2 linked regions of the Arabidopsis thaliana genome follow. Changing the gene in region 1 together with any one later gene gives a genetic interaction. Each region holds a gene or a part of one and is shown in the gene's direction. Other genes may lie near its edges.

Region 1 (5,838 bases):
AGGAGAATTATGGGATTAGAAGTGAAAATTGTAACCACAAGAGTTACTTGTGGACCAGTGTGAGCCAACCATGTCCTAAGTTTTCTTTCTATTTCGATTCTCTGGTCATTATAGTATTGGCCCCACTCTTTCCCTTAATATCAATTTGGTTCAATCCATATATTTTGGTATTGCGATTTTTATTCTTATTTTAAATTGAAGGACCAACACTTATATATAAAGAATATACACCAATCTATTTATTATTAATTAGATTTAATTTGGAAATCCATAAAATTTAATACAGTAAAATCTCTATAAATTAATAATGTTGAGACCACAAAATTCTATTAATTTATAAAGGTATTAATTTATCGATAAATTAATATTTATTAATTTACAGAGAGATTTTCCAAAAGTGGTAATTTTTTTTTTAATTTCTATAAAAATTTAAGATTCATTCCATTATCTAAAATATATTTTTAGAACCAATTACAAATAGAAATAATTATCATGTCTAGAAAACAACAAGAAAAGTTTTTGATAGAGTAAAAATATTAAAATGAAATAAAAAAAAACTTATACAAATTTAAGTAAAAAAAAAACAATATTAAAATTATATTTCTCTGTAATTTATGATATTAATGGGACCCTATGTTTATATAAGATTTTCAAAAAAACTATTATCTTATTAATTTATCGATTTGTATCACTTTTTACAGTGGTTCCAACTCGGGACCGAAAAAATTTATTAATTTATAGAGATTATTAATTTATCGAGTATTAATTTATAGAGGTTTTACTGTATGTATCAAAATTTCGTGTGTTGAGATTTAATACTGATCTTAAAATGAGATTCAGTTCGAGATAGGCTGATTAGAGCCATCATCTTGAAGGTATATATTAAGATTCCATATTGTAAGTTTGAAGTAATCAACACTAGTATATATGAGACATAAACGTTGGTTGAGAATTGAATCGATGAAATTTAGTTTTGTTTGGATTTTGATTTGACTGGTTAAGGTCTTATGTACATTTTTCGGAGGATTGATTTCAAAAAAAACTAATGTAATAATTTTATATAATTGCTTAATATACTTTTGGTTTAGGATCAAATTTCTGGTTAACTCTGATTTAGTTTTGAGGTACTGAAAACCTATATTATGTCAATTTGGAGATATATTACAGTTAACCAGATATAACATTAGTAGTTTGATATATCTCCAAGTTGACATAATATAGCTTTTATTCACATGAACATATTTGTTTGATTCAACTTGTTTTACTTCTCTTACAACTATATAATGTTTTATACAAACGATTATTTACATAAGATTACACTTAAAACTCATAATTTTATATTGGCTAAACATATATATTGCTTAATCTCCAAATGACATTATCATTCTCCTTTTTTGAAATCATACGAATCAATGTAAGGTGAAAGTTAGTGAAAACAATATTTTGCATTTTTTGGTGAAACCATAAAGATAGTATTTGTTGATAAATATGGGGATATTTATCCTATATTATCTGTATTTTTCTTACCATTTTTACTCTATTCCTTTATCTACATTACGTCATTACACTATCATAAGATATTTGAATGAACAAATTCATGCACCCACCAGCTATATTACCCTTTTTTATTAAAAAAAAACATCTGATAATAATAACAAAAAAATTAGAGAAATGACGTCGAAAAAAAAAGTAAGAACGAAGAAGAAGTGTTAAACCCAACCAATTTTGACTTGAAAAAAAGCTTCAACGCTCCCCTTTTCTCCTTCTCCGTCGCTCTCCGCCGCGTCCCAAATCCCCAATTCCTCCTCTTCTCCGATCAATTCTTCCCAAGTAAGCTTCTTCTTCCTCGATTCTCTCCTCAGATTGTTTCGTGACTTCTTTATATATATTCTTCACTTCCACAGTTTTCTTCTGTTGTTGTCGTCGATCTCAAATCATAGAGATTGATTAACCTAATTGGTCTTTATCTAGTGTAATGCATCGTTATTAGGAACTTTAAATTAAGATTTAATCGTTAATTTCATGATTCGGATTCGAATTTTACTGTTCTCGAGACTGAAATATGCAACCTATTTTTTCGTAATCGTTGTGATCGAATTCGATTCTTCAGAATTTATAGCAATTTTGATGCTCATGATCTGTCTACGCTACGTTCTCGTCGTAAATCGAAGTTGATAATGCTATGTGTTTGTTACACAGGTGTGTGTATGTGTGAGAGAGGAACTATAGTGTAAAAAATTCATAATGGAAGTCTGCAATTGTATTGAACCGCAATGGCCAGCGGATGAATTGTTAATGAAATACCAATACATCTCCGATTTCTTCATTGCGATTGCGTATTTTTCGATTCCTCTTGAGTTGATTTACTTTGTGAAGAAATCAGCCGTGTTTCCGTATAGATGGGTACTTGTTCAGTTTGGTGCTTTTATCGTTCTTTGTGGAGCAACTCATCTTATTAACTTATGGACTTTCACTACGCATTCGAGAACCGTGGCGCTTGTGATGACTACCGCGAAGGTGTTAACCGCTGTTGTCTCGTGTGCTACTGCGTTGATGCTTGTTCATATTATTCCTGATCTTTTGAGTGTTAAGACTCGGGAGCTTTTCTTGAAAAATAAAGCTGCTGAGCTCGATAGAGAAATGGGATTGATTCGAACTCAGGAAGAAACCGGAAGGCATGTGAGAATGTTGACTCATGAGATTAGAAGCACTTTAGATAGACATACTATTTTAAAGACTACACTTGTTGAGCTTGGTAGGACATTAGCTTTGGAGGAGTGTGCATTGTGGATGCCTACTAGAACTGGGTTAGAGCTACAGCTTTCTTATACACTTCGTCATCAACATCCCGTGGAGTATACGGTTCCTATTCAATTACCGGTGATTAACCAAGTGTTTGGTACTAGTAGGGCTGTAAAAATATCTCCTAATTCTCCTGTGGCTAGGTTGAGACCTGTTTCTGGGAAATATATGCTAGGGGAGGTGGTCGCTGTGAGGGTTCCGCTTCTCCACCTTTCTAATTTTCAGATTAATGACTGGCCTGAGCTTTCAACAAAGAGATATGCTTTGATGGTTTTGATGCTTCCTTCAGATAGTGCAAGGCAATGGCATGTCCATGAGTTGGAACTCGTTGAAGTCGTCGCTGATCAGGTTTTACATTGCTGAGAATTTCTCTTCTTTGCTATGTTCATGATCTTGTCTATAACTTTTCTTCTCTTATTATAGGTGGCTGTAGCTCTCTCACATGCTGCGATCCTAGAAGAGTCGATGCGAGCTAGGGACCTTCTCATGGAGCAGAATGTTGCTCTTGATCTAGCTAGACGAGAAGCAGAAACAGCAATCCGTGCCCGCAATGATTTCCTAGCGGTTATGAACCATGAAATGCGAACACCGATGCATGCGATTATTGCACTCTCTTCCTTACTCCAAGAAACGGAACTAACCCCTGAACAAAGACTGATGGTGGAAACAATACTTAAAAGTAGTAACCTTTTGGCAACTTTGATGAATGATGTCTTAGATCTTTCAAGGTTAGAAGATGGAAGTCTTCAACTTGAACTTGGGACATTCAATCTTCATACATTATTTAGAGAGGTAACTTTTGAACAGCTCTATGTTTCATAAGTTTATACTATTTGTGTACTTGATTGTCATATTGAATCTTGTTGCAGGTCCTCAATCTGATAAAGCCTATAGCGGTTGTTAAGAAATTACCCATCACACTAAATCTTGCACCAGATTTGCCAGAATTTGTTGTTGGGGATGAGAAACGGCTAATGCAGATAATATTAAATATAGTTGGTAATGCTGTGAAATTCTCCAAACAAGGTAGTATCTCCGTAACCGCTCTTGTCACCAAGTCAGACACACGAGCTGCTGACTTTTTTGTCGTGCCAACTGGGAGTCATTTCTACTTGAGAGTGAAGGTTATTATCTTGTATCTTGGGATCTTATACCATAGCTGAAAGTATTTCTTAGGTCTTAATTTTGATGATTATTCAAATATAGGTAAAAGACTCTGGAGCAGGAATAAATCCTCAAGACATTCCAAAGATTTTCACTAAATTTGCTCAAACACAATCTTTAGCGACGAGAAGCTCGGGTGGTAGTGGGCTTGGCCTCGCCATCTCCAAGAGGTTTGAGCCTTATTAAAAGACGTTTTTTTCCAACTTTTTCTTGTCTTCTGTGTTGTTAAAAGTTTACTCATAAGCGTTTAATATGACAAGGTTTGTGAATCTGATGGAGGGTAACATTTGGATTGAGAGCGATGGTCTTGGAAAAGGATGCACGGCTATCTTTGATGTTAAACTTGGGATCTCAGAACGTTCAAACGAATCTAAACAGTCGGGCATACCGAAAGTTCCAGCCATTCCCCGACATTCAAATTTCACTGGACTTAAGGTTCTTGTCATGGATGAGAACGGGTTAGTATAAGCTTCTCACCTTTCTCTTTGCAAAATCTCTCGCCTTACTTCTTGCAAATGCAGATATTGGCGTTTAGAAAAAACGCAAATTTAATCTTATGAGAAACCGATGATTATTTTGGTTGCAGGGTAAGTAGAATGGTGACGAAGGGACTTCTTGTACACCTTGGGTGCGAAGTGACCACGGTGAGTTCAAACGAGGAGTGTCTCCGAGTTGTGTCCCATGAGCACAAAGTGGTCTTCATGGACGTGTGCATGCCCGGGGTCGAAAACTACCAAATCGCTCTCCGTATTCACGAGAAATTCACAAAACAACGCCACCAACGGCCACTACTTGTGGCACTCAGTGGTAACACTGACAAATCCACAAAAGAGAAATGCATGAGCTTTGGTCTAGACGGTGTGTTGCTCAAACCCGTATCACTAGACAACATAAGAGATGTTCTGTCTGATCTTCTCGAGCCCCGGGTACTGTACGAGGGCATGTAAAGGCGATGGATGCCCCATGCCCCAGAGGAGTAATTCCGCTCCCGCCTTCTTCTCCCGTAAAACATCGGAAGCTGATGTTCTCTGGTTTAATTGTGTACATATCAGAGATTGTCGGAGCGTTTTGGATGATATCTTAAAACAGAAAGGGAATAACAAAATAGAAACTCTAAACCGGTATGTGTCCGTGGCGATTTCGGTTATAGAGGAACAAGATGGTGGTGGTATAATCATACCATTTCAGATTACATGTTTGACTAATGTTGTATCCTTATATATGTAGTTACATTCTTATAAGAATTTGGATCGAGTTATGGATGCTTGTTGCGTGCATGTATGACATTGATGCAGTATTATGGCGTCAGCTTTGCGCCGCTTAGTAGAACAACAACAATGGCGTTACTTAGTTTCTCAATCAACCCGATCTCCAAAACTCATCCATGGCTTCTTCTCCTTCTCCTCCAAAACTAATCCAAATCCAAACAAACAACAACAAATCCTCATCGACTACATCTCCAAATCCCTCCAATCCAACGATACCTGGGAAACTCTCTCCACCAAATTCTCCTCCATAGATCTATCAGATTCCTTAATCGAAACAATCCTTCTCCGATTCAAAAACCCCGAAACCGCCAAACAAGCTTTATCCTTCTTCCATTGGTCATCCCACACTCGAAATCTCCGTCACGGAATCAAATCTTACGCATTGACGATTCATATCCTTGTCAAAGCTCGATTACTAATCGACGCTCGAGCTTTAATTGAATCGTCTCTGTTAAATTCTCCTCCCGATTCGGATTTAGTCGATTCGTTGTTAGATACTTATGAGATCTCATCTTCTACTCCTTTAGTGTTTGATTTGTTAGTTCAATGTTACGCTAAGATTAGGTATTTGGAATTAGGGTTTGATGTGTTCAAGAGATTGTGT
Region 2 (5,579 bases), on another chromosome or scaffold:
GTCGGAGCGGTTCTGGTGGAGAAAGAAGATGCGGTGGTGAGGCAAGAGCACACGGCGAGGTTGTTATTAGAGACTATATCGCCGAAATGCGAATTCAAAGTGTTTCATTGCTATGAAGCTTAGAGAATCATTTAATTATCCGAAAAATAAAGGAATTTTAAAAAAAAAGGAATAAAAAGAAAATGAGACTTTTTAATTCTTAAAAGTGTTGAAATTGACGGAAAAAAAAAAAGTGTTGAAATTGATGTGATGGATAACACATAGAGAATAAGAAAAGTTTATATTTTTAAATTTGTTAAAAATGTTTATTGTATTAAAAAATTAAATTTAATACAATTATTATGTTTATGGAGTATTGTTAAAAAAAAAATTGTTGATATTAAATTTTTCCATTTTTTGATATTTTTTTTTAATATCCCCTTTGAAAATTTAATTTCGTCTATAAGGGATGGATTATGTGGATTAGATCAAATCGGCCAAATTTTATAAAATTGACAAGGTTTTCAAAAGTCTCAAATCGAATCAATGATTTTTTTTTTTACATGTCAAGTTATGATGTTTCTTTTATGTACGCAAAAAGGCAAAAATAAATGAACGTAATGATGGCTTTACACATTGAATTTGTTGGAATAAAGGTTCCAAATACGAAGTATGAGAAAGTAGAGAATATAAGATGGTCCACATGCAACTCTTACTATGAGTGGTGAACAATGAATCTAAAGATTTTTAGATTAGTTTCAAATGGAATGCTTTTTAAATAAAATGATATATAAGAGCATATTTTAGTAGGAACCTTCATACCAAAAATAAAGTAGGAACCTTAAAAACCTCTCAAGTTTCTCGTTATCTTCAACTTTTAGCATTACACATAAATACTAATCCTGGATTGACTTCTCTCAACTCAAAATTTCTATTAATTGTGTGTTCAAGAATAAAATATATTGATAATTATATGATTAGCGTGATTTTTATTTATTTATTTATCATGTACATGTAGTAGAGGCCTTTGCTAACTATGAAAGAAGGGGAATATCAATGGGAATATATAGAAGTGTGAAAGTATAAATCACATTTGGAAACAAGTGATTTATTTGATCAGTTAATTACTTTTGACAAGTTGATTATATTCATTTCTTCGAGTTTTTGGCAACTTGTTGAGTTATATGCATGGTATAAATTGATTTCATGTCCCTTCAAGAAAGTTCCTCACGTCACCATCGGGCTAAGAAGACATATTTACATACAGATGTCAACATTACGGACGATTACATGAACTTAAAAAACCTTAAAGCAAATTAATCATGATCTATAAAACGATTATATGAACTTAAAAACTCTAAAAAAAATTCATGATCAGTACCACCGATTACAGGAACTTTAAAATCCTTCCAACACTAATGATATTTTCAAATCCTTTACAAATAAATTTTCAAACATTTTAATGATTGTATTTCATATGGGCCTTAAATGGCCCAACTAACATATGTCAATAAGTCTAATACCAGAAAAGACTAGTACGTAGTAACAATTTAGTTAATTACCAAACGCCGTCGTTTTTCTCAACTCCGTTATTTCCTTTTTTTTCCTGGCGACTTATTTGATTTCGTGTCTCTCTCAAAGAATAAGGAAGACGCAGACGAAGAAGGTGACAATGGCGTACGTTAGTATGGGTGAAGCTCACCGGAGAATCACTGAATACCTAAACCGATTCTGCGACGCCGTTTCGTACCAAGACTCTTCTACACTTTGCCGTCTCCTCTCTTTCTCTTCCAATTCTCCACCTCTTCTCTCACTCGCCGACGCACTCAACGTCTTCCAGGTACATATATTCTCTGTTAAATCGAGACCCATGATTCAAATTAGCAGCTTGGAGTATGTTCCTGTGATTAGTGGCATGATCCTTGTAAATTGGTAAAGTTAGGTTCGATTTCAAATCCAGGATGCTTCTGATATGTTCCGATTGGGTTCTCGTATGAATTGTGAACACTAGGAGCATGGTTTTTATGTTAGCAAAGTTTGTAACTTTTAGGTTAAATCGATTCAATGTAAGATCCTTAAGAGTATGATTTTCTAATTGGGTCCTCCTACTTCACCAATGAGTATGAATTTCTGAATTTAGGGCTCAAAACACTAGGAACATTATCTTTATGTTAGCAAAGTGTGTATCTTTTAGGTTCAATCAATGTCAATCTAGGATCCTCCTACTTCACTAATGAGTATGATTTTCCAATTGGGTCCTCCTGCTTCACCAATGAGTATGAATTTAGGCCGTGAAAGTGTCTCCTATTGAGTTGTTGTAGTGAACACTCTATGTCTATGTTTGAGTTTATGAGTATGGATTTTAGATTTAGGGTTTTTATTTATATGTAGAGAGCTGTGAAAGTGCTGAATCCTTTGAGTTTTCTTTTCTTTGACTGATACAGGATTCTAGCAGTTTGATTAGACAGTCTGATAGATTCTCTGAATATGGCGAGATTCTGGCTCATGTGTTTCGTTCTCTACAAAGTTACCGAGTTGGGAATCTAGTCGAAGCATACCTTGCTTTCGATAAGTTTGCCAAGTAAAGTCTTCTTGTTCCTCTCTGCTCCTCTATTGATGTCTAATATGATTTCAGGGTGATAAGCTTTTTTTTTTGTCTGTTCACAATGTCTGATATCTGATGGATTCTATATGTGCAGTGCATTTGTTCAGGAGTTTCGTAATTGGGAATCTGCTTGGGCATTGGAAGCTCTGTATGTAGTTTGTTATGAAATTCGAGTTCTTGCGGAAAAGGTAGTATCTCATTTGTATATCCCTTTTTCAAAATCTTAACCTTGTCTGGTTTCATTGTGTCGAGGAGTCAGTTCTGAAAGCATGATTTTTCCACATGGAATTGCAGGCTGATAAAGATTTAACTTCTAATGGAAAGTCTCCAGAGAAATTAAAAGCAGCTGGGTCTCTTCTCATGAAAGTTTTTGGAGTTCTTGCTGTAAGTTTTCCCTTTGATCTATCTATATATCTTCAGGAATATTAGTTTATATTTGTGTTCAATATTTTTTCCGGCTCCTTATGTAGTTTTAAACTATAGGGGAAAGGTCCAAAACGAGTCGGAGCATTATATGTGACTTGCCAATTGTTCAAGACCTACTTTAAGGTGATATGCTTTCTGGCAACAGTTTGATATTTATGATTTAACCATTAAATGGAGTACTAAACAGGTATCCCCAATTTTGTATTTTAGCTTGGAACCGTCAATCTTTGTCGAAGTGTAATAAGAAGTATCGAAACTGCTCGGATATTTGACTTTGAGGAGTTTCCAAGAAGAGATAAGGTCTGGCGCAGTTCTCTGCAAACAGTTTTAGTTTTTGGCCTCCTTATTCGGTTACTTATTATCTTCTGTTTATTCTTCGCAAACACCAGGTTACATACATGTATTATACCGGCCGATTAGAAGTCTTCAACGAAAATTTTCCTGCTGTGAGTCACTAAGAGATTTTTTCTTACCATCACAGTTCATTTCGTAGTGTCAATCCAAATATTGATAGTAACATTTAATCTCTTTTTTTGGATCTTGCAGGCTGATACAAAGCTATCATATGCCTTGCAAAATTGCAACCCCAAAAGAGAACGAAATATAAGGTCTGATTCTGGTTTTACTCTGTGATTACCTTACTCTTGCATTGCGTTGCTTAATCAGCTAATGTGGCCTTATGTGAATCAGGATGATATTAAAGTATTTGGTACCGGTGAAGCTTTCTTTAGGAATTATACCAAAAGATGAGCTCCTGCGAAATTATAATCTGCATGAGGTAACGACTTTTCTGTTGTTCTATAAAATTTTCTTCGAATCTATGTCAAAACTTATTTCGCATCTGCTGAGTGATATCATATCTCTCTTAATCCTATTTCTCTACGTGTCCAGTACACAAAGATTGTGCAAGCTCTGAGAAAGGGTGATCTAAGGCTTCTCCGGCATGCTCTTCAAGAACATGAAGATCGGTATGTATTTCTTTCGATATCTTGCTTTTCTCATCTAATCCAAATGATAGAGTCCTTGTGGATACTCTAGAGCATGAGTATTGGAATTAGTATAGGCTGCTTGTAGTGGATTATATAGCTCTGCTGACAGGTCAGTAACACCTGGTTCTTAGGTAGAGAGCTAACAGGTTAAAAGAAAATTGGGGCAGAAAGAGTTGGGATGTTCTGGATTTGTCTAGGGGTTAGGATTTGCAGTTGGGTCGAGAGTAGAGTTGTGCAAGTCTCTATATGATGAGTATTTTGATTCTATCACCGAACAACTTAATATCTCGATCTAATACTCTTCTTTTATACAGGTTCTTGAGGTCGGGTGTGTATCTTGTCTTGGAAAAGCTAGAGCTCCAAGTCTACCAGAGACTCATGAAGAAAATGTAAGCAAAGACAAGCTATGATACCATCCAAGATTCTTGAGTTTATAACTCTTATTATTATCAATGTTTCAGTTATATAAACCAGAAGCTGAGTGATCCAGCGAGAGCTCACCAGCTGAAGCTTGAAGGGATTGCCAAAGCACTAAGATGGCTAGATATGGACATGGATCTGGACGAGGTTTGTTCTACAATACCATCCCATTCATTGCTTTTGACTTCTTCTAAAATTGAAATCTTCTATAAACTCACAGTTGTCAAAATAATACTGTATTTGCAGGTGGAATGTATAATGACGATATTGATATACAAAAACCTTGTGAAAGGTTATTTAGCTCACAAGAGCAAAGTGGTAGTTCTAAGCAAGCAAGATCCTTTCCCTAAACTAAACGGGAAGCCTGTTAGCTCATAAGTCTTCACGTGTTATTTTTTTTGTTGTATCAACAAACACTTTTTATTTTCTAATTGTGTGTAAAATTCATTCAAACAAAAAACAAAAACTGTTTTTACAATAGAAATGTGACTTTAAAACTGTGGAGTTTTCACCATGGTTGAGGAGTCTACTTACGAGTAAGGTCCAAATTTCCACTGAATATCGACATGAGAAGAATAAGTGATTACGAGTTTTAGTTTAGCAAAAAAAAGAAAAAGTGATTACGAGTCTCATTCGTATCTCCACAGAAAAATGCAATTTGATCTTTGGCGAGAGTTCCAGTTCCATACTTCCATTACCTTATTCTTTTTACATCAATAGGGGGCCTCATTGTTTTCTTCTCTACGATTACCACCTGAAGCAAAAAGACGATGAAGCCAACGAAGATCGTGATTCCGAACCGCCGCAACGAGAAGCTCGTGGGTCTGCTTCACGAAACTGGATCAAAAGAAGTTGTGGTCTTATGCCATGGCTTTAGATCGGACAAGACCAACAAGATTCTCAAAAACGTGGCTACAGCTTTGGAGAAAGAAAAAATCAGCTCTTTTCGTTTCGATTTCTCTGGTAACGGAGATAGTGAAGGAACTTTCTATTATGGTAACTTCAACAGTGAAGCAGAGGATGATCTGCATTACGTTATTCAACACTTGTCCTCCTCTAACATCATGAACCGTCTAGTTCCTGTCATTCTTGGTCATAGTAAAGGTGGTGATGTCGTTCTTCTCTATGCTTCCAAGTTTCCCGATTATATCCGCAATGTC

The links. Genes that interact genetically often act in the same process or in processes that back each other up.
Region 2: of ETR1 (region 1) and EER5, a change in one rescues a mutant of the other (synthetic rescue), as found in Arabidopsis thaliana (one study listed by BioGRID).

What each region holds. Positions count from the first base shown.
Region 1 is NC_003070.9:24,732,454-24,738,291, forward strand, and holds ETR1 (Signal transduction histidine kinase, hybrid-type, ethylene sensor), read left to right. Parts: upstream 1-1,708; 5' UTR 1,709-1,830; intron 1,831-2,199; 5' UTR 2,200-2,244; coding exon 2,245-3,150; intron 3,151-3,225; coding exon 3,226-3,594; intron 3,595-3,671; coding exon 3,672-3,926; intron 3,927-4,008; coding exon 4,009-4,136; intron 4,137-4,226; coding exon 4,227-4,424; intron 4,425-4,552; coding exon 4,553-4,913; 3' UTR 4,914-5,265; downstream 5,266-5,838. Other genes in the region: AT1G66345 (Pentatricopeptide repeat (PPR) superfamily protein), read left to right, coding at 5,266-5,838. UniProt on the Arabidopsis thaliana protein: Ethylene receptor related to bacterial two-component regulators. Acts as a redundant negative regulator of ethylene signaling.
Region 2 is NC_003071.7:8,465,142-8,470,720, reverse strand, and holds EER5 (proteasome family protein), read left to right. Parts: upstream 1-1,575; 5' UTR 1,576-1,651; coding exon 1,652-1,819; intron 1,820-2,423; coding exon 2,424-2,560; intron 2,561-2,649; exon of another isoform or gene 2,650-2,670; coding exon of another isoform or gene 2,671-2,678; coding exon 2,679-2,772; intron 2,773-2,878; coding exon 2,879-2,968; intron 2,969-3,067; coding exon 3,068-3,133; intron 3,134-3,220; coding exon 3,221-3,310; intron 3,311-3,399; coding exon 3,400-3,456; intron 3,457-3,556; coding exon 3,557-3,618; intron 3,619-3,700; coding exon 3,701-3,788; intron 3,789-3,901; coding exon 3,902-3,978; intron 3,979-4,313; coding exon 4,314-4,388; intron 4,389-4,460; coding exon 4,461-4,566; intron 4,567-4,665; coding exon 4,666-4,797; 3' UTR 4,798-5,031; downstream 5,032-5,579. Other genes in the region: CDA1 (cytidine deaminase 1), read left to right, coding at 1-123; AT2G19550 (alpha/beta-Hydrolases superfamily protein), read left to right, coding at 5,190-5,579. UniProt on the Arabidopsis thaliana protein: Involved in the regulation of ethylene response. Probable TREX-2 component required for nuclear RNA export.